Drosophila melanogaster: one gene and its partners. The protein of the gene in region 3 binds, or shares a complex with, the protein of the main gene of each other region. Each region holds a gene or a part of one and is shown on either strand. Other genes may lie near its edges. The genes, in order: Prim2, PolA2, Prim1 and PolA1.

Evidence for each region.
Region 1: Prim1 (region 3) and Prim2 share a complex: the UniProt entries of both Drosophila melanogaster proteins name them as parts of the alpha DNA polymerase complex.
Region 2: Prim1 (region 3) and PolA2 share a complex: the UniProt entries of both Drosophila melanogaster proteins name them as parts of the alpha DNA polymerase complex.
Region 4: Prim1 (region 3) and PolA1 share a complex: the UniProt entries of both Drosophila melanogaster proteins name them as parts of the alpha DNA polymerase complex.

The regions. Positions count from the first base shown.
Region 1 is NT_037436.4:20,359,319-20,363,480, forward strand, and holds Prim2 (DNA primase subunit 2), read right to left. Parts: upstream 2,268-4,162; 5' UTR 2,190-2,267; coding exon 588-2,189; 3' UTR 515-587; downstream 1-514. Other genes in the region: CG5665 (uncharacterized protein), read left to right, coding at 1-502; Toll-9, read right to left, coding at 2,722-2,929, 2,991-3,118, 3,189-4,162. UniProt on the Drosophila melanogaster protein: Regulatory subunit of the DNA primase complex and component of the DNA polymerase alpha complex (also known as the alpha DNA polymerase-primase complex) which play an essential role in the initiation of DNA synthesis.
Region 2 is NT_033777.3:27,237,313-27,241,751, forward strand, and holds PolA2 (DNA polymerase alpha subunit 2), read left to right. Parts: upstream 1-1,850; 5' UTR 1,851-1,961; coding exon 1,962-3,791; 3' UTR 3,792-3,916; downstream 3,917-4,439. Other genes in the region: CG31064 (uncharacterized protein), read right to left, coding at 1-511; CG17991 (uncharacterized protein), read left to right, coding at 4,020-4,439. UniProt on the Drosophila melanogaster protein: Accessory subunit of the DNA polymerase alpha complex (also known as the alpha DNA polymerase-primase complex) which plays an essential role in the initiation of DNA synthesis.
Region 3 is NT_037436.4:8,338,488-8,344,904, reverse strand, and holds Prim1 (DNA primase subunit 1), read right to left. Parts: upstream 4,592-6,417; 5' UTR 4,406-4,591; intron 4,121-4,405; exon of another isoform or gene 3,822-4,120; intron 3,759-3,821; exon of another isoform or gene 3,753-3,758; coding exon of another isoform or gene 2,436-3,752; exon of another isoform or gene 2,029-2,435; intron 1,940-2,028; 5' UTR 1,931-1,939; coding exon 1,771-1,930; intron 1,715-1,770; coding exon 558-1,714; 3' UTR 501-557; downstream 1-500. Other genes in the region: CG7182 (uncharacterized protein), read left to right, coding at 1-377; CG7083 (uncharacterized protein), read right to left, coding at 2,436-3,752; Pex2 (peroxin 2), read right to left, coding at 4,730-5,029, 5,084-5,515, 5,571-5,648, 5,715-5,750. UniProt on the Drosophila melanogaster protein: Catalytic subunit of the DNA primase complex and component of the DNA polymerase alpha complex (also known as the alpha DNA polymerase-primase complex) which play an essential role in the initiation of DNA synthesis.
Region 4 is NT_033777.3:21,666,018-21,673,506, forward strand, and holds PolA1 (DNA polymerase alpha subunit 1), read right to left. Parts: upstream 5,734-7,489; 5' UTR 5,629-5,733; coding exon 5,613-5,628; intron 5,555-5,612; coding exon 5,360-5,554; intron 5,307-5,359; coding exon 4,288-5,306; intron 4,223-4,287; coding exon 1,662-4,222; intron 1,602-1,661; coding exon 1,123-1,601; intron 794-1,122; coding exon 597-793; 3' UTR 545-596; downstream 1-544. Other genes in the region: Jhbp16 (juvenile hormone binding protein 16), read left to right, coding at 1-119, 236-509; CG31176 (uncharacterized protein), read right to left, coding at 7,343-7,489. UniProt on the Drosophila melanogaster protein: Catalytic subunit of the DNA polymerase alpha complex (also known as the alpha DNA polymerase-primase complex) which plays an essential role in the initiation of DNA synthesis.

The DNA of each region.
Region 1 (4,162 bases), about 12 Mb from region 3:
TCGGACTTTTAAGAAGCTTACCGGAAAACTTATACCCAGGATAACTGGCTTGGATCCGGCCAAGCCATGTTTCAGGCGGGAAAAGATTCTGCCAGGATTGACGCGTGGCGATGCCAAGCTAGTGGACATAATCCACACCAACATTGGTATTTTGGCCAAGCGTGGACCCCTCGGTGATGTGGACTTCTATCCCGGCGGAGCACATCCCATCCAGCCAGGCTGCCTAACCATCGGATGCTCTCATACCCGAGCCGTTGAGTATTTCGCCGAGAGTGCATATCCACACCAAGAGAAGAACTTTATGGGCAAGAAGTGCGCTTCTTGGGATGAGCTAAGAAAACGGGATTGTTCTGCTGGCATAGTTTCCCCGATGGGCTATCGAATGAATCCCCAAGCCAGGGGCATCTACTACGTAGATGTCAATGGCTGGCCCCCTTACGGCCGAAACTCGGAGAACACTGTTGATCCTAGGCTTAAAACGTGCTACTTGTGCCGGAGGTGAAGTCCGAACCATGGAATAATATAACTTTTCTTATTTACGATGCTTAAATATATATGTACCTTAGTTAATTTATGTTGTACAACGTTTAGTAATCGATTTGCGTAAGATCTAGATCATCATTGAAGGCCTCGGATATGTCCTTTTGGCTCTGCATGATACGCTCCTGGGTTTCCGCGATTCGCCACAACTCATCGTCATCGTCACCCATCAGCATGGACCGATCCCCATGGCCCTTGATATCTGGACGGATTCTGGCCTTGGGCGGAGCAGAACCATTGGCGCGCTTCTGCCGGTTGCCCATCGCTATCTGGCTCTCCTCGAAGTAGTTGTTGGGGTGATTGATGCTCGGCTCGACGGGTGAATTGTGGGTAAGTTGGAAGTACTTGCCGCATCCAATTTGATAGTGACCGCGGGACACAAAGAACATCACCTCGTCGATGGCACTGGCTGACAGGCCATAGGAGGACAGCTTGGTTTTCAACGAGCCCTGATCCATGTTCTTATACGGACAGCCGTGGCAATCGCCCGGCCCCGCCACATCCTTGATAATCTTGGCGCACGAGTAGGGTGTGTAGTTGACCATGGAACCCTTCTTTCCGTAGTTATGGTAAATATTGTACTCGTAGCTGCGTGTAAACTTATCCGCGTCCATTTTCTTGGTAAACTCTTCGCGCCAGAAGCGCAGCGAATCCTCCAGTGCCACGCCAATTCCTTTGAGAAACAGGCCGTATTGCATTCGGCCGCTATGTTTTATGTGATGGTTGGCACGAATGTGCTCGTGGCACATGCGCATACACAACGGCATGGAGGTCTTGGAGAGCTGATCGAGCGACTCGATGGGCACAGCTGCATCCCGACAAACGGTGTAATCCCTACCGGTATACGAGTTATGTAGAGCTTTAAGTGTGCGGGAGATGCGCTCGTCGGCTTCTACATCCTCCACCATAGTCTTAGCAGCCTGCAGGCCTTGCTCGATCTCGTCCTGCTGCTTGGTGCCCACTAGGGACACCAGGTCGTGGGTGTTAACATAGGCGTAGCCAGCCTTTAAAAAGCAGCGACGTCCGCGCACCAGATCGAGCACCTGGGTGAAGGGCACCTTGTAGAAGTCCAACAGCTCGATCTTCGCCACGCTCTGTCCGACCGTGCTCTCGTACAGGCCGTCCTTGACTTCGTCCTTCTGGGCCTCGGTGAGGGGGTGAATCTCAAAGCCGTTGGCCTCAAGGAACTGCTTCACCTCGAAGCTGCTAAGTGCAGCGAATTTGTACCGGAAGAGCTCCATTTCGCGGGCCACGAACCAGCGCGCAAGGTCCTCGGAGCGGCAGTAGGCCAGCCGCAAGATGAAGTGCGAAAGATAGTCCCGCCTGCGGGTCTGGATATCCGCCTCGTGCTTGGCGCTTCCGCCGGTGGAGCAGAGCCTTAAATAGCTGCGCAATCCCTCGCGGGTCAGGTCCGCACTCACGATTTCCTTCCATTCATCTGAGAGCACGCGCAGGTTCCGGGTGCTTGCGCGATCCAGGACGCGGAGAAGGCGCAAGCGCTCTAGAGCCAGCTCCTCGAATTCGTCTATGTGCACGTCCTCCGTCGGCGGATAGTGGTACAGCATGACGTTGTGCGGGTACTTGGTTTCCAGGCTGGCCACCTCCACCTTCACCTCATGTCTCGCGCGTTTCTTCAGACCAAACTCCATTGTGAGTCGCGGGAATTGCTATAGTAATTTACAATTTGTGGAATGCCCGTTTGTTGTTTTGGCGCGCAAACTACTGATGGCAAATATCAGCTGTGTCAGTTGTTATCGATAGTTTTCTGCTCATTATCGATGCTTGCGGTTTATTCAATTTGTATTTCAAAATTAAACGTTTTTAATTGTTATTATCAGTCAATTGGTACTGATGTATTGATTGTGTGTTGCATTGTTAGATATTTCTTAGGCCTTAGCTTTGTTTACATAGTGTCCAGTAGTAGTAGGTTATGTTTAATATACGACGCTATTGCCTTTGTTAAGATATTTCAAAAACATCACATAAGCTCTTAAAAACCTAAATACCTTTATTTATTAATATATGTTTAAACTATACTTATGTTCAGCAGCAAATTTTGCATATTACTATGATTACTGTGGGGAAACTTTCGTCTTCATGAAAGTGTAATTAAGTAGTTTATATACTATATCAGGTACGTGCACAACTGACTAGAACTCTCCGGATAAAATTACATGTTTTCTAAACACTGATCTCTCTGGAGTTGATCCCTATGACCTCCAGGGATCTCTTCAGACGTTTCCAAAACAGCTTTCGATCCTCCTTGGCCGTCGGCCACTTTATATACGTTTTCACATCCATGAGATATTGCAAAGTCTTGGGTCGCTTTCGCCGTGGAATGTCCTCCAGAAAAACCAGGATCAAGTGCTCCTTGCTGACCTCAAAGATGCTACAATATACACACATATATTGATTTTAATATTTGAATTTTACAGATAAAGATTCCTTACCGATGCTGTGCCAAATACATTTCAAATTGACACCAATGACTCAACAGGAACTTGGAGGATATGATCAGCATAAGGGAATACGAGCGATCCATGCAGGAGATGATGTTATCTAGGATGGTCACTCCAATCTGCATGTGAATTAAGGGTTAAGGTTTCACTTTATTAGTAAGTTAATGTTGTAAGATAAGTACGCTTCACCTGAAAATCTCTTTCATGCAGACAAATGGACACATCCCCAGTTTCCTCCACGTTCGGCAGCAGTTCATTGAGCACCCAGGTCCGATCATTCTGGCAGTAGCTGATGAAGATATCGTAGACGGCACTGGGATCTCTCTGGGATATGTTTGTGAATTTATTCACCGACTCCTTGGACGCACTGGACAACAAGGCAGCGGACTTCAGGGAAGAGTAATAGTAGTGGATGTGCCAGCGCTTCAGATAAATTATAAATCCCAGGATGCAAGCGCCAACTAAGCTGCCCATGACTGCGATCACTGTGTTCGTAACGTGGTGCAACTCCTCGGCGAGGTCACTCATCGACCTGATCTGGCAGTTGAGCTCATCCACCTGGAGCTGATCGGTGTTGTTGAAGCAGTAATACTGACTGGCCTCGTAGTCGAGCAGCTGAAATTTTAGGGTAAGATCTCCGTCAAGGTCCCCTAAGTGGTATGGCTGGGCCGCGGAGCACTTGGCTACCATGTAGTCCTCGGAGGAGAAGCGCAGCTTGATTATATGATTCGCGCGATTGAACTCCCTGATGTTGGAGTAACTTCTCTGCAGCCAGGGAATATAGCGACTCTGCCATAGCTTGCGATCTATAATTAGTGACTCCGCCAGAGATATTACCTCCTCACCTACGGCATTCTGACTATAGTTCAGCAGTCTATAGGAGCAGTCTGCATCTTTATTATTGGCGGCCGCCACCTCCACCACCGCTCTCAAATGGCAGTCGCAAATAAAGTCGTTGTCCCCGAGACTAAGGTAATCCAATCGCTCAAAGTCCTTCAACATCTCGTTGGACAGCATGTTGATGGTGTTGCTTCTCAGGTTCAAAACCCTTAGGGCGGAGTTGTTGTGGAAGGCACTGCGGTACCAATTGCCCACATGGTTCGAGCTCAAGTCGAGGATCTCCAGGGACTCCAGAGACTGAAACATGGCGGGAGTGAGAGCGT
Region 2 (4,439 bases), on a different chromosome or scaffold from region 3:
CGCTGGTGTTGGCATGCGATGCCTTTGGCAAGGCAATCGTATTGCTGCTGTTGCTCGCCTGTTGTTGCTGCAACACCAGGGGTTGCTGCTGTGTCTGTTGCGGTTGTGGCGGCTGCTGTTTCGGCTGCACTTGTTGTGAGGGTGGATTCTGACCCTTTTGGCTCTTCGCCGCTGCTGCTTGCGCCCTTGTTGTTGCCGTTGCTCCAATTGCTGTTGCTGTTGTGCCAGTTGGAGTTGCTGCCGTGGCGGACTTTGCAGACTTGCCTACTTGTTGTTGCCCCGTTTGAGGCGCCTTCTTGGCAGCCATTGTTCCTGACGACAATGACGTCGCGCTGCCCGATGTTGGCGTTTTCACTGCACTTCTCAAGGGCTTCGAGCTGCTGCCGCTGGCACTTGATCCTGTTGCAAGGCTGCTCGACTTGATGCGACCGCTGCCGCTGGTGCTGCTGAGGTTGTTGTTGTTCGCCGACGACAACTTGGTCCTTTTTGTATCCTCGACAAGTCCACGCATTTCGCTGCTGCTTCAAAGTACGCCTGAGTAGTGTGTGTGTGTGCGTGGGCGTCCATAAAAATACAGATATATACATATATCGATATTAGCTGTTCAATAAGTTCCGAGTTTCCTTTGCTGCCGCTTTCCCTCAACTGTTTTTTCATTACCTTAGAGGGGTTTTTTCCTTTTGTAAACCTCTTTTCCAGAGGGTTTTACTTCTGAAATTAACAAAATAACCGAAAGTTCTCGCCGCTTTGATTTTGCACCGTTATCCTGTTGTGTACGCGTTGAGTAAGACTGGCAAAAAGTTCTTTATCCTATTGATTTGTCCAGTGCGCCAAGCTCGCAAGCTCCTCGCGAGCTTTCGTTGGGGGTGTTCTCGATGGTCACGCTGTGTGTGGTGCGCAAATCACCTTTGACACTTTCCCAATGCACTTTTAAGTTATTTTTAATCATATTATTTATACAAGTACCGAAATATTTCAACGACAGTTTCGCACAGCCCACGAAATTGCTAATACTAATTAATAAATACATTTTAGAATAGTTTTGAGTACCTAAATTGTTATATTAAATATATATGTGTATATATTTATATATATTATATATAATATATTTTATATATGCAACATTATTACTTAACATATTATTATTAGCGCACAATGGAAATTTGGTTTCCATTGCTGCTTATCATCGAATGAATAATAATTCGGACTCACCGCGTTTCAGTCGCTTTGCTTTCAGTTTCGATGGCGACGGGGATGAAGCACTGGCGCTCGCCACCGTGTCCGGCGCAACAGGTACAACAGGTGGTGCGGGCTCGTCGGGATACGGGTACGTGGTGGTGCCATCGATTACCTCGGAAGAGGCGGCTGCTGCGGCCGCATTCGAGAACTGTGTGGATATGTGGCTGAAGATCTGCGAGGAGATGCTCTCCGTGCGCCGGAAGGTGTTCCGCAGGCGGTCCAGCGATGACGTGGGGGCGCTGGGCGCAGGCGCGGCACCTCCGGTGGTGGGCGTAACCGGAATGGAGACACTCGAGGATTGGGAGTCTTCACTCCTTTCGCGGCGCACCAGCAGATCGTCCGTGCTCATGGCGAATCACTTGCTTCGCGGCGATTATCAGGACACTGTGCGGAGTCACATGAATCAAAATGACGCGATTACAGCCGCTAATTTCGCTTGTTTTGCGCTTGAACGCGGGTAAACAAAAAAGTTTGTCAATACAAAATTAAAACAGCTGTTGCACTGCGATTGGGGATGGGCGATAACAATCACTGGTTACAGATCACGGTTATCGCAGCTCGATGGGAGCTGTTATGTTATTGAACTGACTATGCTTATCGATAAGAAAACTCAAGCAGGTGTTAAAAGCATCATAGGGTGGCAACACTGTGCCCACTTTTACCGCCAAAATAAATTGCTAGGTTTATTTACGAAAATTAAACGCCCAACGAAAGGACAACGAATGGAGGAGGAATTGAAGCAGCAGTTCGACGAGATGGGCGTGGAGCCAGCGGACGCAGTTCTGGGCAGGTGTGCGGAGCTGGCCATTACCTACAACATCCACGACGCCACCGAGTTCGTGGAGCAGTGGATGGCCTTCAGTTTGTCGCACCTCCAAGGCGAGGATCCTGCGATCGAGAATCTGGGCGACTTTGAGCGCAAGGTGTTGCAGCTGCGGAAGGACAAGGCGGGATACAAGGCAACTGGCCAGAAGGCGAAATCATATGGTTCGCCCTCTGTACAGGATACGAGCTCACTGGCCACCTATGGCGTCATGGAGGACGATCCCATGCTGGATGACTATGTCAGCGAATCGGCAGTGGACTCCTCCGCTCTGCACACGCCCAAGGCCAAGAAGCAGTCGGATCGGACCGCCAATCTCAAGGGCGCCGCACTCTTTAGCCCCGCCAGCTATACACCCCAATCGGCAAAGAGGAAAGCAGGTTTAGAAACACCATCCAACTCAGTGGCCGGCAAGCCGGGCGATATAGTTGACACCTTCGGACATCCCAAACTCCTGGCTGGCTCCAGCTGGCAGTCACAAATGGAGCACACGGTTCCGGTGACTCAAAAACTGCTGCACAACGACGCCCCGCTGACCATCGCAAATTTGGGCTACATGAACGACCTGCTGACCGACCGATGTCACAACCTGCGCGTCCGCTTCAACCAAACCGGTCCGGCACTAGTGGACAAGAAACTTGGACAAGCAGGCGCAGCCGAGTGCATTTGGTATCCGCAGGATAGGCAGGTATTGCAGTCCGCAGGTGGACTCCACGCGGTGGGAATGATTCATTCCGAGGACGATGGCCCACTGGACGCCCACTCCGCATTTATGGCCGTTTTAGATGACGATGTAGAAGATGAAATGGACCCAACGCTCACGCTCAACTTCTCCAGGGTCAAGTCTGCCAGCATATTCCCAGGTCAAGTGGTGCTCGCCAAAGGGTTCATACCCAGGGGCAAAACCTTCATGGTAGAGGAGATACACACAGAGCGCAAACTGACGCCAGCAACGCCACTGCAAATAGACAGGGAGCTTCAGTTTGTGGTGGCCTCCGGACCCTTTACGGACAGTACGGATCTCTTCTACGAACCGCTGCACGACCTGCTCAAGTACCTCAAGGATCACAGACCTGACGTGCTGGTGCTCACGGGACCATTCCTGGATGCCGATCACAAGATGGTCGGCGAACTGGCCGAGACCTTCGATACATTCTTCGAGAAGATGATTGGGGGAATAATGGAGTCGATTGGTAGTCACACAGCAGTGCTGGTGGTGACCAGTCAGAAGGATGCCATGGCTCTTTCCGTATATCCAACGCCGCCGCCCGCTCTGCGCAGAACCTATCCAAATCTATACATGCTGCCCGATCCATCTCTGGTGGACTTGGATGGCTTTACGCTGGGCGTTACCTCAACCGACGTGGTGGACCACCTGTTGAGTCACGAGTTTGCTGTGAATGCCGGCGAGCGGATGCACAGGGCCATCAACCACTTGTTCCACCAGGGCTCCTTCTATCCTTTGTATCCGCCGGCGGACGAAGACATGGCCTACGATTCCCAGCTGGCGTTGAAATATGCACAGCTCAAACAGCTACCAAATGTGCTCATCTTGCCCAGCGATCAGCGGCATTTCATCCGCTTGGTCAACGACTGCCTGGTGATCAATCCCGGCCGTGTCGCGGACAAGAAGGGTGGAACTTTCGCCCGATTCCTGGTGGCGCCTTCGGTGCCGGGAAAGGCGGCCAACATGTTCAACAGTGTGGCGTGTCAAGTCCAACGCATCTAACCTGACCACTTTGTGATGATGATAAGGAAAGGATAGTGGGAAATAGATCAGTACAATATTATTAGTTAATATAATGAACACACTACTTTGTCATAACTTTTCACAAAATACATTCAACAACAAACAACTAGCATTAGTTATTTTGGGCCAAAGTAGGTATTGTATTATTTGTAAACATATGCCCTGGAGTTTTCTCAGACTCAAGTTTTATATACAACAAGATCAATAATGGCTAGCAACGTTGCTGCGCCACAAGCTTCAGCTGGAGGAGATTCGACGGAACTGGAGCGCTGTTGCTGGATCTGTTTTGAGACCGATAAGGAGGCAGGTCGCCAGGCTTGGGTGAATCCATGTCTCTGCCGAGGAACCAATAAGTGGGTGCACCAGAGCTGCATTTCCCTCTGGATCGACGAGAAGACCCGAATAAACAACAATCTGCAAGCCGTTTCCTGTCCACAATGCCAAACGGAGTACACCATTGCATACCCGAATCTCTGGATTTTCGATAGGGCTTTGGAGCTGACCAACGATCTTATCCTAACAAACTTATATAATTGCCTGGCCAATGTCTTCACGGTGGTCTTTGCCTATTGGTCAGCGGTTTCATTCGGAGCAAAAACATATTTGCAGATCACTGGTCAGGAAGGT
Region 3 (6,417 bases):
GCTGCGCGCGCCAAGCTGTGTGCCTGATTGACCCCCTCGAACAGCAGCTTCACAAGGAGGAGGATTGCGTGGTGGCTGAGGATGACCTCTTCATTTGGCACGGTAATGACGAATCCAACGCCAAATTGGTCCTGGGCAGGGGGAGCGTTCTGCCTGCCAAAATACGGATATCACTGCCCCAATCAGAGGAGGGAAAGGGTGACGACGTAAGCAAAGCAGCTGCTTCGTTTAAGCTGCGCACCGGGGAGAGCGAGATCCTGGCCCGTCTGCCCGACAGCACGATACCGGAGGATGGGCTTTACCAGCTAGAGGTTGAGGTAGATGTGGACGATAAGGACGGCAACGTGGTGCCGCTGGTGCGACTGCGCTGCATGTGAGAGCCGGATTGTGAACCGGAACCGGTGCGATGTCGCCTAGACTATTTATTGTTGCTAGCCTAATGATTACAATACAAAAACTTAATAAAGATAAATACGCAAGCGGCAAACGAGAAAGTGTATGCATACTGAAATATTCATTAACCTTTTATTTTCTTATGTTAGTTTGTAAAATTAGAATCAAAACTGCAAGCTGGCAGATTTCTGGCTGCGCTCCAGTTTTCGCAGGAACTCCTCGAAAACCACGACACCCTTGAACATGCTAGTCTTCTTGTGATCCTTGATGCGGCTCTTATCCTCCGGCGCCTCCATGTAGCTCTTGCTCTTATCATCGAAAGCGTTGATCTCGTGAAGCAACTGGGTGATCGTCGGCACTGTGGTGGGATCAAACTTGGCCACAGCACTCACACTAAACGGAACGCACACTTTTCCAGTGGCTGGATGAATGCAAAACGGTGCCTTTAGCAAATGATTGAATCCCCTAGTGACATTGATGTCCAAACGAGGATAGAGCAGTCCAAGCTGGATTTCGGCTACAATGTTCTTCAGCTTGCGACTCCAGGCACTTGTCGTGGATGTTCTCATAGAGTTGGCGTACTTAATGAAGCTCTCCCAAACGAGTCGCGAGTGTGCTCCATCCTCCAAATTCTTTTGCATATAAGATTCTAGTTCGCCACGCGCAGCGTCATCGTGGACCATGTTAAGAAGTTTGGTAACTCCCTTGGGAGTTCCAAAAAGATTCTGATCCTCTAGTACAATCTCCTCGAACATGGGCTCCACTATCTTTAAGGCTCTCTTTAGGCTATGATGCGGTCGGTCTCCCATTGAACATCTGGGTGAATTGCCGCCCGCGAAACTGGCATAGGTAATAATGTTAAGGTATTCCGCCACAGCATAGCGACCACGTCCGTCCAAGTGACGGGCTTGGTAGTCGCAAACCCAGCAATGGATACCTCGTCTACCTGAGAAAATCCAGATTATGTGCTCGAAACCGAAATCCTCGCGCAAAGCGACATCCAAAACCCTGGCAGCCAGCACCATAAACTTCCAGCATTTCAGGCATACCCCTGCTCCAGAGCAACAGGTACGCACCTCGTCGTAATCCGTCATATCTATATCAAAAACGAGTTCACGTTGTACGGGCGTTAAGCCGCCAGGAATTGAACGATGGTTTTTGGGTTTGGAATGCATTACTGGTCCTATGTCAATCTTAATAGGATTCCTCGAGCAGATCTCCTTTTCCAATTCAGCTTGGGTATCAAAGCAGAGGTAACGTATGTAGATATCGTCCTGCAGTGTAAAGGAAATTTCACGATTGGAAAAGATAGCATCCTCGGCTGAAAAGAATAATGATCAACGGCTATTTTTAAGGATTGTAGTTGGGTGTACTTACATGATCCATACGATAGCCAACGGTAGAAGGGCAGGTGGGGAAAGAGGCGCCTGTAATACACGGGCAACATATCCTGCAGGACTTCGGGATTGTAGGCATGCACAGCAGTAGTCTGCTGCTGTGGAGCCTGGTTCTCCTGATCTGTGACTTGTTCGGGCATTTTAAGAAACTGAAAATAAACCACATATCTTATGATTATATCCAGAAAAAGAACAGAATACTTATAACCGTAAAGAAATCAAAACCATTCAGCTTTTTGTCGAAACCTTATATTTATATATTTTTTTGCTGATTTTTTCTTTTTCAAAGAGAGATACACGATTGGAGCTTAAAGTACTGAAATATATTAACGACATGCATTTTTTAAACGTAAGAGGCTTATTAATTGTCAGTTATGGGTCGAAACAAATTGAATCGAGCTATCGCAATGGAATACCGCAGAATGAACCTGGTCAGAGAGTTCGTCCGATGATTGGCTTAGCTTACATTGGAAATCTACGTCTACCATGTATATATATATATCTATATATTACTATATAATGTATGTGTCTACTTTACGGCTATGTTAGATCATTGTTGTAGCTTAAAGATTAGAGCACGACCGGCGGGCTTTCCCTTGTTCAGCATCATGGAGCAGCGAAAGGAGCCCAGTAAATTCCACAACTTTAGGCCACTGTGAGGCGAATGTCTTGCATTTTGTGCTGCTGCCAGGAATGCGCTGGCTGCCTGGGAGGCGCAGTATTGTAGAGCGTTACCGAGGCGATGTGGCTATTGGGCATCACCTCGAAAATCAGGTCTTGGTAGCCATAGCAAAAGGTGGAGCCGAACGGATTCGCTGTGTTCGTCGAGCTGGCGCGATGCAGCACCACTGGCCGCTCTGAGGTGGCCAATGCGCTGCTGATCGCGTCCCATTTGGTGTAGGCGGTTATGTTCACATGTTCCTGCTTAGTCGGCGTCACCAAATCGTGACCACTATCACTCATCGAAGGGTGATCCGCCTGCAGCAGGAACTGGAACTCGCAGCGATGGTACATATTAAAGTTGAAGTGACCGGGGTAGTTGGTGTGCAGAATGAATTTCTTGCAGGTCTGCGTCCGTGCATCAAAGAGCACATCGATGCCAAGTGTAAAGTAGTTAAAGAAAATATCGCTTCGCTTGCTCTGTGCTTGTCGATTGACACTCGAGCTGTGTATCTTCATTTTGTCCTCGCTCTTGAAGAATATACGATTGGGTGCTCCAAGACTGGTGGCCACATCCTCGCAGCTATCGCCGAAGAGCAGCTCTCGCGTAAAGCACTGACGGCGTGGCTCCAAAGCCCTTCCTGAACCCTCAGTAAAGAGCTTCAGCTTCAGACCCTTCGTGTGACCAAAGGCGGTTCGGAGAACAGTGGCCGATTCCAAATACATCTGGCGGTGATAGCAGGACAAGGGAAGAGATGGTACCCTGTTCTCCAACACATTGCTGCCTGCGTAGAGAGACATCTTGGACACGACGGGTGAGGCGCCATTCAGGAAAACCAGAGAACTCAGTCCATGGGCGTAGCCCGAGTGCAGCTTGCTGTCCACCGGAAAGTAGAAACTCAGCCCGCGAAAGTGTAGAGCAAACAATTGTTTGGCTGCATCGTAAACCCCAGGATGTGTGGCTCCAAAGGAGTGCTCGATTTGCTCGATACTCGGCAGCACCTCCGGGGAATTGAAGTATACGCCGAAATACCGCAGCTTCACCAGTTTCATGTTGAAAACCTCGATGGTCTTCAAACGCTGACTGACGGGATCAAAGATCAAGCGAACGCCATCCTGTGGCAGGTTGATAATGATGTCCACGCCCAGGGGAGTGGTATCCGAGTACAGCACCTGGACTCCCTTGATGATGCCCACCTGCGACTGGATGATGGCGATAGCCTGCGAGAAGTGCATGCCCAGCACAAATTCCCAGGCATCGCAGCCCAGGGAAATCTCCGGCACGATCTCCAGATCTAGCATTTTCACCTGGGGGTTTTTAAGGGATCTTGGTTTGTTATTGTTGTTGCTGCGAGTCGTCAACTTACTGACCTTGATATGTGAAATCAGTTCGCGTTGCGAATATATTTAAACAATTATATATATACGCAATTGATGGCCAAGTGTATTTGTTATTATTTCAGCACTTTCTGTTTTCAATTGTTTGCTCTCGTTTTCTTATTTTCGCTGGTTATGCCTTTATTTATTTTTATGCAATTACGCAACTCCAAAAAAATTGTTTAATTCGTGGGTTTCCAACTACTTGTCGTGTTCTTGGTGAAGCGATTAATTGTATTGTTTTCTTCAAAAAAATTCGGACAAAGACGAAATGCGCAGCAGAAAAATGAGATAATAACAAAGTAATGGCGTTGCCACATCGCCGCAGGCAGCTGATTCGCGAAATTGCAAAACAAATTGGGTGTGGCTTTGCCACCCAAAAAATATGAATATTAATCATGTTCTTAGTCTATCTATCTAATCTAGTGGCTTAAATACGGTTAGAGCTACTTAACAGTTGAGTTCATATAATTGCTTAATTTATTTGCCACATTTGGCAACGCTGGTTGAGAATGCAACAGCTGTTCCCATATTTTCGCGCGCTTTTTATTTACCAAAGATAGGGATTTAGAACTTACTTTTTGATCTTAACTGTTGTTCTTGGAAAATCAGCAGTTAACTTTGGATCCGCAAGGCTTTATACTTCGCCCTAAACAGTTTTTGCTTTTTATTTTCGTTTAATTATACACTTTTTATGTAGTTTATATCGCACGACTCCTGGCACTGGGCAAGTAAATAATAGCTGTTTTTGTACGACTACCAACACTACTCTGCTTGCTAACACTAAAAGTACACACATTTGGCGGAATATGAAAATGATTTGTTTATTACTTACAGCCCACTTTTCGCTTAAAACTAATAAAAGACATATAAAACCATCACATGCACTATATTCCTATTTATCAGACACTTTGGATTCCCGACTCAGGACACGCAGAACCGCAGTTGGGGCAGCAGAAACTGGCATCCGTTAAAACATTTGCATTAAGGCAGTAATAGCAATAAATATGACCACAGCCCATGTGGTGGGGCAATGTGGGTCGCTCTCCACAGAATGTGCAGGTGGTGCTTAGTGTCATCTGCGGCGCCAGGAAAGCCGGACCATCTCTATCCTCTAACCGTCGTCCGGAAAATGTCCATGATTTTAGCACTCTTTGTAGCTTACGGAAATTGATGATGGGCAACACCAGTCCGAGGATTTCCTATAATATACACTGTAATATATATGTATAATAAGCAAACTAACTAACACGCACCATAAATCCTCCCCACAGCAGCTCCCTCGTTAGGTACTTGTAGCCAATGTCTCTCCTTTGATTGTTCCGCAGACTAATGTAGTCCAATCCCAATAAGTAGTCCACCAAAGTGGGTTTTCGTCCTGTCTTCAGGAACCGAAAGTAATTGAGGATGTTCAGTATCAGGGCACTGTTCTCCACCCACATAATCGCCTCGCTAAACCATTCTACGCGCCTTGTTAAGCGTCGCTCCTCCCAGCTCTTCACGTAGCCCGGCAAGACGGTCAGGATGAAATGGAGCACCAGCCTGGAAACGGTCAGCTTTTCGGCATCGTAAGCCAGAACCAGTAGCTGTTGGCCAAAAGTGGAGCACCGCTTGCCGACGGAACCAAACCAAATTGCGGATTGAATGATCAAGTCGAGCTCCGGTTGGATTTTGATGAACAAAACGGGCTGTGAGAGATATACAGTATATATTGGCCAATTATGGTAGTGTTCATATACTCACTGAGATGGCTTGCAAGTTCTCCAGCAGATTATCGCGTATCAGGCGGGCAATGTCCTTGTTCAAATAGATGGCATCTATCTAAAAGGTAAACATGTATAATTTTAGTGGTTTTAATTCATGAATAGCTCACCATAATTAGCTCACCTGATTTACACGTGGTACATATTTGTTTTTCTCCATTATTTTGTTTATATTCTTGCCTTTGGTTAGCTGACCATTGATATATTTCTTATTTATATGTACTCTGCCCTTTCTTATCAATTAGAGATGGCAATTGTAAAGAAAGTTTACTAGTCATTATCGACATTTTTAAACAGTGCTGGTAAACTATATCGACAAACCCCGCCAAATTTAAACTAGCCATACTAGCAATGCGGTTTGATTTTTTATTTATTGCTAATTGAAATCAGCTTATATATCAATTACATCGACATTTCGAAGAAACTCCAAGTCTTTTAACCATTTAGGAAGCATTTTCCGTCAACATTTCAATTAAGGCTTATGCAATTTCAATGAAAACAAATACAAGAAACCACAATGAACTGAAGAACTCGTTTGGGATCCGGAAAATGTGTCTAACGATGTCTGGTAATTTGTGGAAATCTTGCCCATTGCCGTTTACGTCTGGAAACGCATAAACCAGTTGGTCAGCTGAGACATTTGGTCATTTGTTTGAGGAGTGCAAGTTCAATGATTGGCCCCGGCTGAAAAAATTATGGCCAGTGGTCGGGTGAGTTTTGATTTTATAAAAAGTACATAATTCACACTTTATTACACAATTTACAATTTCTTCGTTCGATCTCTGTTTTACGAGAAGACATAAGTATACATTACAGTTTACAGATTA
Region 4 (7,489 bases), on a different chromosome or scaffold from region 3:
GTCTACACTCAGTATTTCCCCGACAAAAGTCTGGAGGGCGAGTACGAGTTCGCCGCCAAGATGCTGGGTACTGAGATGAACAGAAAAGGCCACTGGAACCTCACCCTCTACGATTACAGGTGGGCACCGAGTTGCATGGAAATATGTATTTCCCAAGCTGTGTTGCAAACACCAGTATTGTTGATAGCTTTTGGCTTACATGACAACCTATCGCTCACTTTATTTACTTCCTCAGTCAAACCACCAGCGTTAGGCGCATCGGCGGTCCGGGCTCACTCATCAAGGTCCATGTGGAGGTGGACCGCATCGGCGGAATGGAGCTGCACATTGAGAACTTGCTGCAGGGACAGCCCCTCAACCAACTGGCCGATGGAGTCATCAACAGCATGTGGCAGCTGGGATTGCCCTTCATCAAGCCGATGATTAACGAGTTGGTTAGCACGGCATTTACGGATATATTCAACGAGTCCTTCCGGCACTTTCCGCTCGAGAAGTTCCTCGCCACGTGACCTCATCTAGTTAACCATACTGTATCTCTGTATCTCTTTTGTAGTATTTTTAATGGAACTTATAACAAAGGCTAGTTAATTAAACACTTAGACCACATCCGCCAAAGCACTCGGAATTGCTTCGATCTGGGGCTGCGCCACGGACGGTTGCAGGGACATCTGAGCCAGGGATCGGGCAAAGAGCTTGCTTAGCGAGATGATCACGTAGGAGGAGCTCTGCAACTGCTGATCCACCGTTTCGTATAGGAGTTGATAGGCCTGCTCCAGCTCCGGTGTGAGGGTGGCTTGATAATATGGACAAAATATAATTTCAATATGAAATGCTGTAAAACTTAATGATACCAATCTTAAGGGAAATATATGTATTAGGTGTCAGAACTAATATATAAACTACAACAATTTTTAAGAATTCAAGGATACAAGCATAAAGAACTACTGAAATCCGTCGAGATCACGGGAACTATAAAATATTTCGACTGATTTTTCCTTTCATGTGTCTTGTTATTTAGTGTCGATATTTCTCTCTCGTACTCCACATTCTTCATTTTGTTCTTATACACAAACTATTGTTTTAGTTTTTGATACTGCTTATAACTACATTGTATTTACTTACGTTTTTGCTGCAGCGTTTGCTTGCCGAGGTCGAACATGAATCGCAGGTAGCACAGCTGATTGTACAGGTCCCGCTCCGTATACTGACGCAGCAGGCTGCCGCTCCTGCACTTTTGGCACAGCGGGCGGTGGGATTTCTTCCTCAAGGAGTGTGTGCGGGTGTTGAAGTTGCAATCCGGGTGATCGCAGACCAGCCAATTTTTATAGAACCGTTGCACATACTGCCGCATGGAAAGCTGCAGCTGATTGCGCACGCTTGCCAGGTACTGAATCGGTGCCGTTTGGCACTCGGACTTAGCGCATTGCTGGAGTACGGCTATGTGGGAGTTGCTTGGACCCGGTCGGTACGCAGACGCCATCAGCTGCTCCGTCTTACAGGTAACGCACTGGAAGCGGAACGGTTCGCACAGGCGATACAACTGCAGAGTCGTCTTGAGCAGGGACTCACCCTCCGACTGCTCGGTGTTCTCTCGCTGGGTTCTACATAACCAAAATATTCGTTAGGTTAGAGTTTGTAAGGAGTAATAAGATAGTAAGTACCTCTGCGCATTCTGACGGAACTTGGTTGGGTCCATGCCCAGACACTCGGCGATGCGACTCGCATCGGTTCCCTCCAGCACCTCCACCATTCGCGTGACTACCGGATGGATCTGGTGTCCCAGGTAGTAATTCGTGTCCAGCTGCAGCTTCTTATCCTCACTGGTCTTGAGCTCATCCAAATGGTATGCTCGCTGCATGGCAGCATTTGTTGTCCCATCCAAACAGATCACATAGTCCACCATATCGCCCTTTTTGTACCGCCTATTACGCTCGCGATTCATACGAAGGGCCACCTGGACGTGGGGCAATGAAGCACTATTGGCATATTCCTGGGGAGTCCGAGTTAACTGTTTGGTGATGACAAACAGTGGCAGCGGTACTACACCCTCTGCAATTTGAGTTTTGATCTTCTCCAGTTGGGCATGCACTGCATCCAGTTTCTCCTCCAAAGGCTTTTCCGACAGCACTTCATCGAGAACGGCTTTTCCCACCATTACAGCCAGCTGAGACCAATCGCGACGTACTATATCCAGGCCCTTGTGCTCCTGTTCACGCCTCAGGTTTCCCTTGGAATCCTTGCTCAACTTGATAGCGGCATACTTCTTTTTCTTCAGCAAGAGCAAACAGCCAAATACTCCATCGATATCCAATTCCAGCTGCTTGTATAGTTTATTTACACTCTGCTTAATATTGTGACCAATCTTGTAGACCTGGTCGTAGTCGGTTATGTTGGTATTTATCATCAGGGAATCTGTGTCTCCATAAACAACGTCATAGTTCATCTTTTGCACGAGTTGTTGTGTGTTCGTGAGGATTTCTCTGCCCTTGTGGGTGACCAAAGCAGCCAAGTGCTGGGCAAAGAACCGGGAGTGGGCGAAACCCAAGCAACCATACATGGAGTTCGCAGTTAGCTTCAGGGCCATCTGCCGAATGTGGTACTGCATCTGGAGTTCCGGCGAAAGATCAGGCGCTGCCATTAGCTTTTTCACCTCTTTTCGCGACTCCACCAAGCGTTTCAATTGAAGGGGTAAGATTCCAGGTTCCGTTTTCGAGTCGGGTAGGGTGGGCAACTCATCTGCATCCACCGGCTGTTGGACGGTGGTGAAGCATATGTTGTACTCCTGTATTATACTGGGGTACAGGGAGTTAAAGTCCATGAGGAGAACGTACTTCTCGTAGAGACCACGCATGGGCTCCAACACTAAGCCACCAGCATAGGCTGCCTTCTTTTTGGTTTGCATCGTCGCATCTGCACCTGAAAGCGTAGCATCCGTATCTCCTGCACCACTTCGTTTAGAAACCGGCTTCTTGTCCGGCACTATGTAATTCTTCTCGTGGAAGGCATGCAGCAACAAGAACTCATTTCGTTCAGAACGACCTCCTTGAAGGGTCCTGGTCATGGTATTGCCGCAGATATTAGTGATTTGTAGCGCCAACGGCATGATGTTGAGCTCACACATCAGCCTTAGTAAATATGAATTGTCCTGCATGGTGAGCGATATGAGCTTGGTAATGCTTTCTCCTTTCTCATACATCTCTAGCAGATCATCGGCATTCACTTCCATTCTCTCCGATTCCTTAAGCTTCAGTACTTGTTTGCATAGCGTTTGCAGATCATAGGATCTTGCTCTTATACACTCCTCTGCAGATCGCTTTACATCACAAACCATTCTGCCGACGAAATGTTCCAGCAATCGCTTGCCAAACGATTGGCTCAGCCTCAGTCGCCCCATTCGAGACCATTGGGGAATCTTCAGGGCTACAATTTGATCGGTTATTACATTTAGTTGACAATCCATGGAATCGAAGGTTACAATGAGATCTGCATCTATTTTCTGGTACTGAGCTAAGAACCAACTCAACAGGGCTCTCTCTGAGTCATGTTTGTGCACTGTGGTAGACTTATATTTTGCCATCTCAAAGTTCAAATCTAAAGGCCAACTAACCACCGCCGGGCGAGTCAAAGCGCACATATGTCGATTGAAAGCGGGCTGTGGAGCAGGGCGGTCGATATGGAAACGATTGTGGGTCAGCATGGAAATCATGCATATCTCGTTTCTCGATGTTTTCGGATTCATTGAGGTGCGAACATTAAGCGATAGTAGCGTAAGTGGAGGTGGTGGCGCTGGCTTTCCCTTATCTTGCACCAACTCTACATTCTTGGGCTCTGTCAATGTGACCTCGGTGTTACACCAACTCATGGGAGTTGGGCTCACCTTGAATCCAGTCACCTGCAGCCAACAGGGACCTTTGATTTTCCGATCTAAGAGGAATCTTTCGAGTGCATTGGTGGTGGCGCCGAATATGTGTGCTATAGAATTGTATTTCTTGTCAGCCGACAAATTGGGCAGTGGTTTCTTTCCATCGTAGTGAACCTCCAAGTAATCGCAAGATTGCGGAACTTCAATACCGATAGCGTGATGGGCAAAACTCTTGGTGACCTTGCGGGATCGAAAGAACTCGAGCTTCAGTTGGTTTGCCACCTCGCTGTCGAACTCCTTGTATATGTCTGCGACGGTCACCTTCTGCTTGGTGGGCTCCTTCGAAATGGGATCTAAGAGCTAAAAGAATATATTCAGAAACAACACTTCACCTAAGGACTAAGTATTTGTAGAATAATACTCACAAATTGTCGGGGCAGCAGATAGAGCACACGGTTGATGTTCTGTACACGCAGACAGACGGACTTTCCATCTGCGGTCCGACCGAACAGGAAGACTTCGCCGGGCATTTTTACTGGATCCTCATAGGCCTCCCAGTACCAGAACCGAAGCTGTTGATCTGAGGAGATTGTCGAATCCTGCTCCGTGGTGAGCACGGACTTTTCAAAATCATCGTCCATTTGGCATATAGACTCCCAATTGTTCAGCAACCTACTAATGTCCTCCGATTCCGATTCCTTTGGCGATCCAGTTGTTTCTTTTTTGGGAGCTGATTTTTCGGCGACTTTGCTTTGGGATGTTTTCTCAGCTGCTGTTTTCGTTTGGGAAACCTTCTCGGTCTGCTGTGTCTTCTCCACATCAAACTGGTTTTCATCGTCATCCAGACAGCTAAAGTCCATTTCATTGTCGGAGAATGGATCTTCGGTGGCTTTTTTTGCAGGTGTCTTTTCAGGCATGGGCTCTTTTTTGATTGTAGGACTGGAGAAAAAGGCCACCTTTGTGTTTGGAACTGCTGCCTTGGGCTTCAGAATGCGCTCCAGCATCTCGTTATCGCTACTGGCCTCCGCTTTCTTACGTTCCTGCTCCTGAACTTTGATGTTGTTTAGAAAACTATTCATGTATTCCTTGGCAGCGGCGGCATCGAATTTACGCGACGTAACTGATATTTTCGCTGGGGCTATAACCTTTTCCGCCTTTTCTGACGTCGCTGCAGGCTCTTCCTTTATTTCGCCCAAAATATCAGCAAGGATATCATCGTCTTTCACACTGGTCTTTACATCCATCTTTTTGGGCACTGCATTGCTGAATAGATTCTTGATGGATGCTTTTCCTGTTACTGGTTTTTCATTCTCCCGTGGTCTCTTTTTGCTGTTGGGGGCAACACCCTTCTTCTTCTTCGAGTCCTTCCGATCCTCCTCCCCATCGGAGTACTCATCTTCGTCCTCGAAGAAATCCCGAAGATCTTCTGCATAACCAGTACCATCTAAAAGTTAAAATTTAGTATTATAAAGTATAGAGTTCAGAGTTCCAACTTACCCTCTTCGATCCAATCGTCACCGTACTTTTCCTGCGCCCTCTTCGCGTACTCCCGCTCATCAACCACATCGTATACATCGTCCACCTGGTCCTCCACTTTGCATTTGTTCTTGGTTCCCTTCAGCTGACGCAGTCGCTCCATGGCGGCGAACCTACCATTTTTGTCTACTCTCTGGCGCTTAGCGCGCGGTTCAGCTGGAAATTTATAATTTCGGTAAAAAATATGTTTAAGGGAGTTATCTTATTAACTTACACGGTGATTCAGACATTGCAACTGGCTAACTTTGATAATAATTTCCCCGTGTTGTGCTGCAGTTTGCAAAAATTGTTTTGTGACCAGGGCTGGAGGATGATCAAAGCGGGAATGGCGGGAACATATCGATAACAGAGCTACGATACATAAAGCGCTGCCGGACTTTTGCAATGTAATATCGATAGTGTCGTTAAGAAGAGGAAGAATGTAAGGAAATTAAAAAAAATAAAAGCCATACAATAACTTAATCCCAAATTGCAATTTTATTATTAAGTAACATCTCTATTTTATGAATTTCTGAGTGGTAATATATCGATAGGTGGCAGCGCGTTATGTTAGCTCTGGGCACTGTTAGCGTCTAATCTGTAAGCACAAATGATCGATTACAGTTAACACGAATAGTTAACATAACAGTTACAGCGATTTAAAATGACTGCTATATTTTGGCGGGAAATCCGACCTGATAATTGAAATGAATTCACCAAGTAAGAAAGAACAATGATCACCATTTAAAGGGCGTTCTTTTAGATTTTACATTTTCGAGCTTCAGCTTTTTAATTGCAGTGGATCACAAAAAGAAAAACTTTTCCATTAGCAGTTGCTCCATGAAGATCCCCTTTTAATGTGCTTGTCATATGTTTTTATTCCCAAATTAAAAGACAATAGTTTGTTTGGTTTTAATCGTATTTTATTTATCATGCATAATATTAGGCTTATAAGATATATATAATATTATACTTTAAATACAATATACAGCAATTTCGATTAAAATTTGTGTGGATTTGAAAGGTGATTTCATACCCTATATAATTATCAATGCAAAATCATGGTTTATATATATACACACATACACAAAACAGACTTACATATTACATGAATACATATATTTATGACTATATTTGCTGTTTAATTGTTATAAGCAAAAATTCGTACATATTTACAATTTAATAGTAAATATTTAGAATTTCTGCACTTGCAGTCGTTATATTTTACAATTATTTTCGGGTGTGTTGGTGAGGAAAGATTTCGGAAGATGAGAAAATATGGAAAATACTGTTTTAGGATAGGGTGATCGAGAGGAACTATAGAAAGGATATTAAAATGTCAGTCTACCAGAATGTACAGCAAAGCAGATAAAATAAGATAAAGGAGGGCAGTTAAGCAAAGCAGATAAAATAAGATAAAGGAGGGCAGTTATTTAGGATCCTTGAGGTATTTTCTTTAGCTATGGGGTGTGTTATTCATTTCTATATGGTTTTCATTTTTATTTCAAGCCACAGACATGGCACAACAATTTATTATGTTTTTTTTTTATGTTTTAAGGAATTTTTCTCCGTGTATGGTTTCCATAGTTTTGGCTAAACATTTAACAACAGCAACAAATATAAAAACAACAAGAAATAATCGTTAACAAGTGCAAGATGATACTGAAATGAAAAGAGAAGAAAAAGAATCAATGAATAATTCAGTTTACAATTGGTTTAATATTATACTATGTTATTATGTAACTATATTAAATCAGAATATAAAGTGGGTTGCAATTCTTATTCCAGTATAATTACATTGCTTGCTTAAATGTATTTCATATTTTTCTAAAGTTTATTTTGTATCAAAGAATTATCTTGATCTGGAGTATTCTTAAAAATACTTAAAAAACAAAAAGTAAATGTTATTACCTTGCTCTGTGCCTGCACAGATGCAACAGATGCTAGACCCACTGTTCACGCCCTTCACACCACCTGCACGGTGGCAAAGGCACTAAAGGTGACCTTCTTGGGGAACTCCGGTCCGGGGGAGCCACGCGTCTTGATCACCGGCTTGAGAGGCTGGCGGGGCTTCAGGGAGAGCAGTCCGGCGGAGGCGGCCAGTTCCCTGAG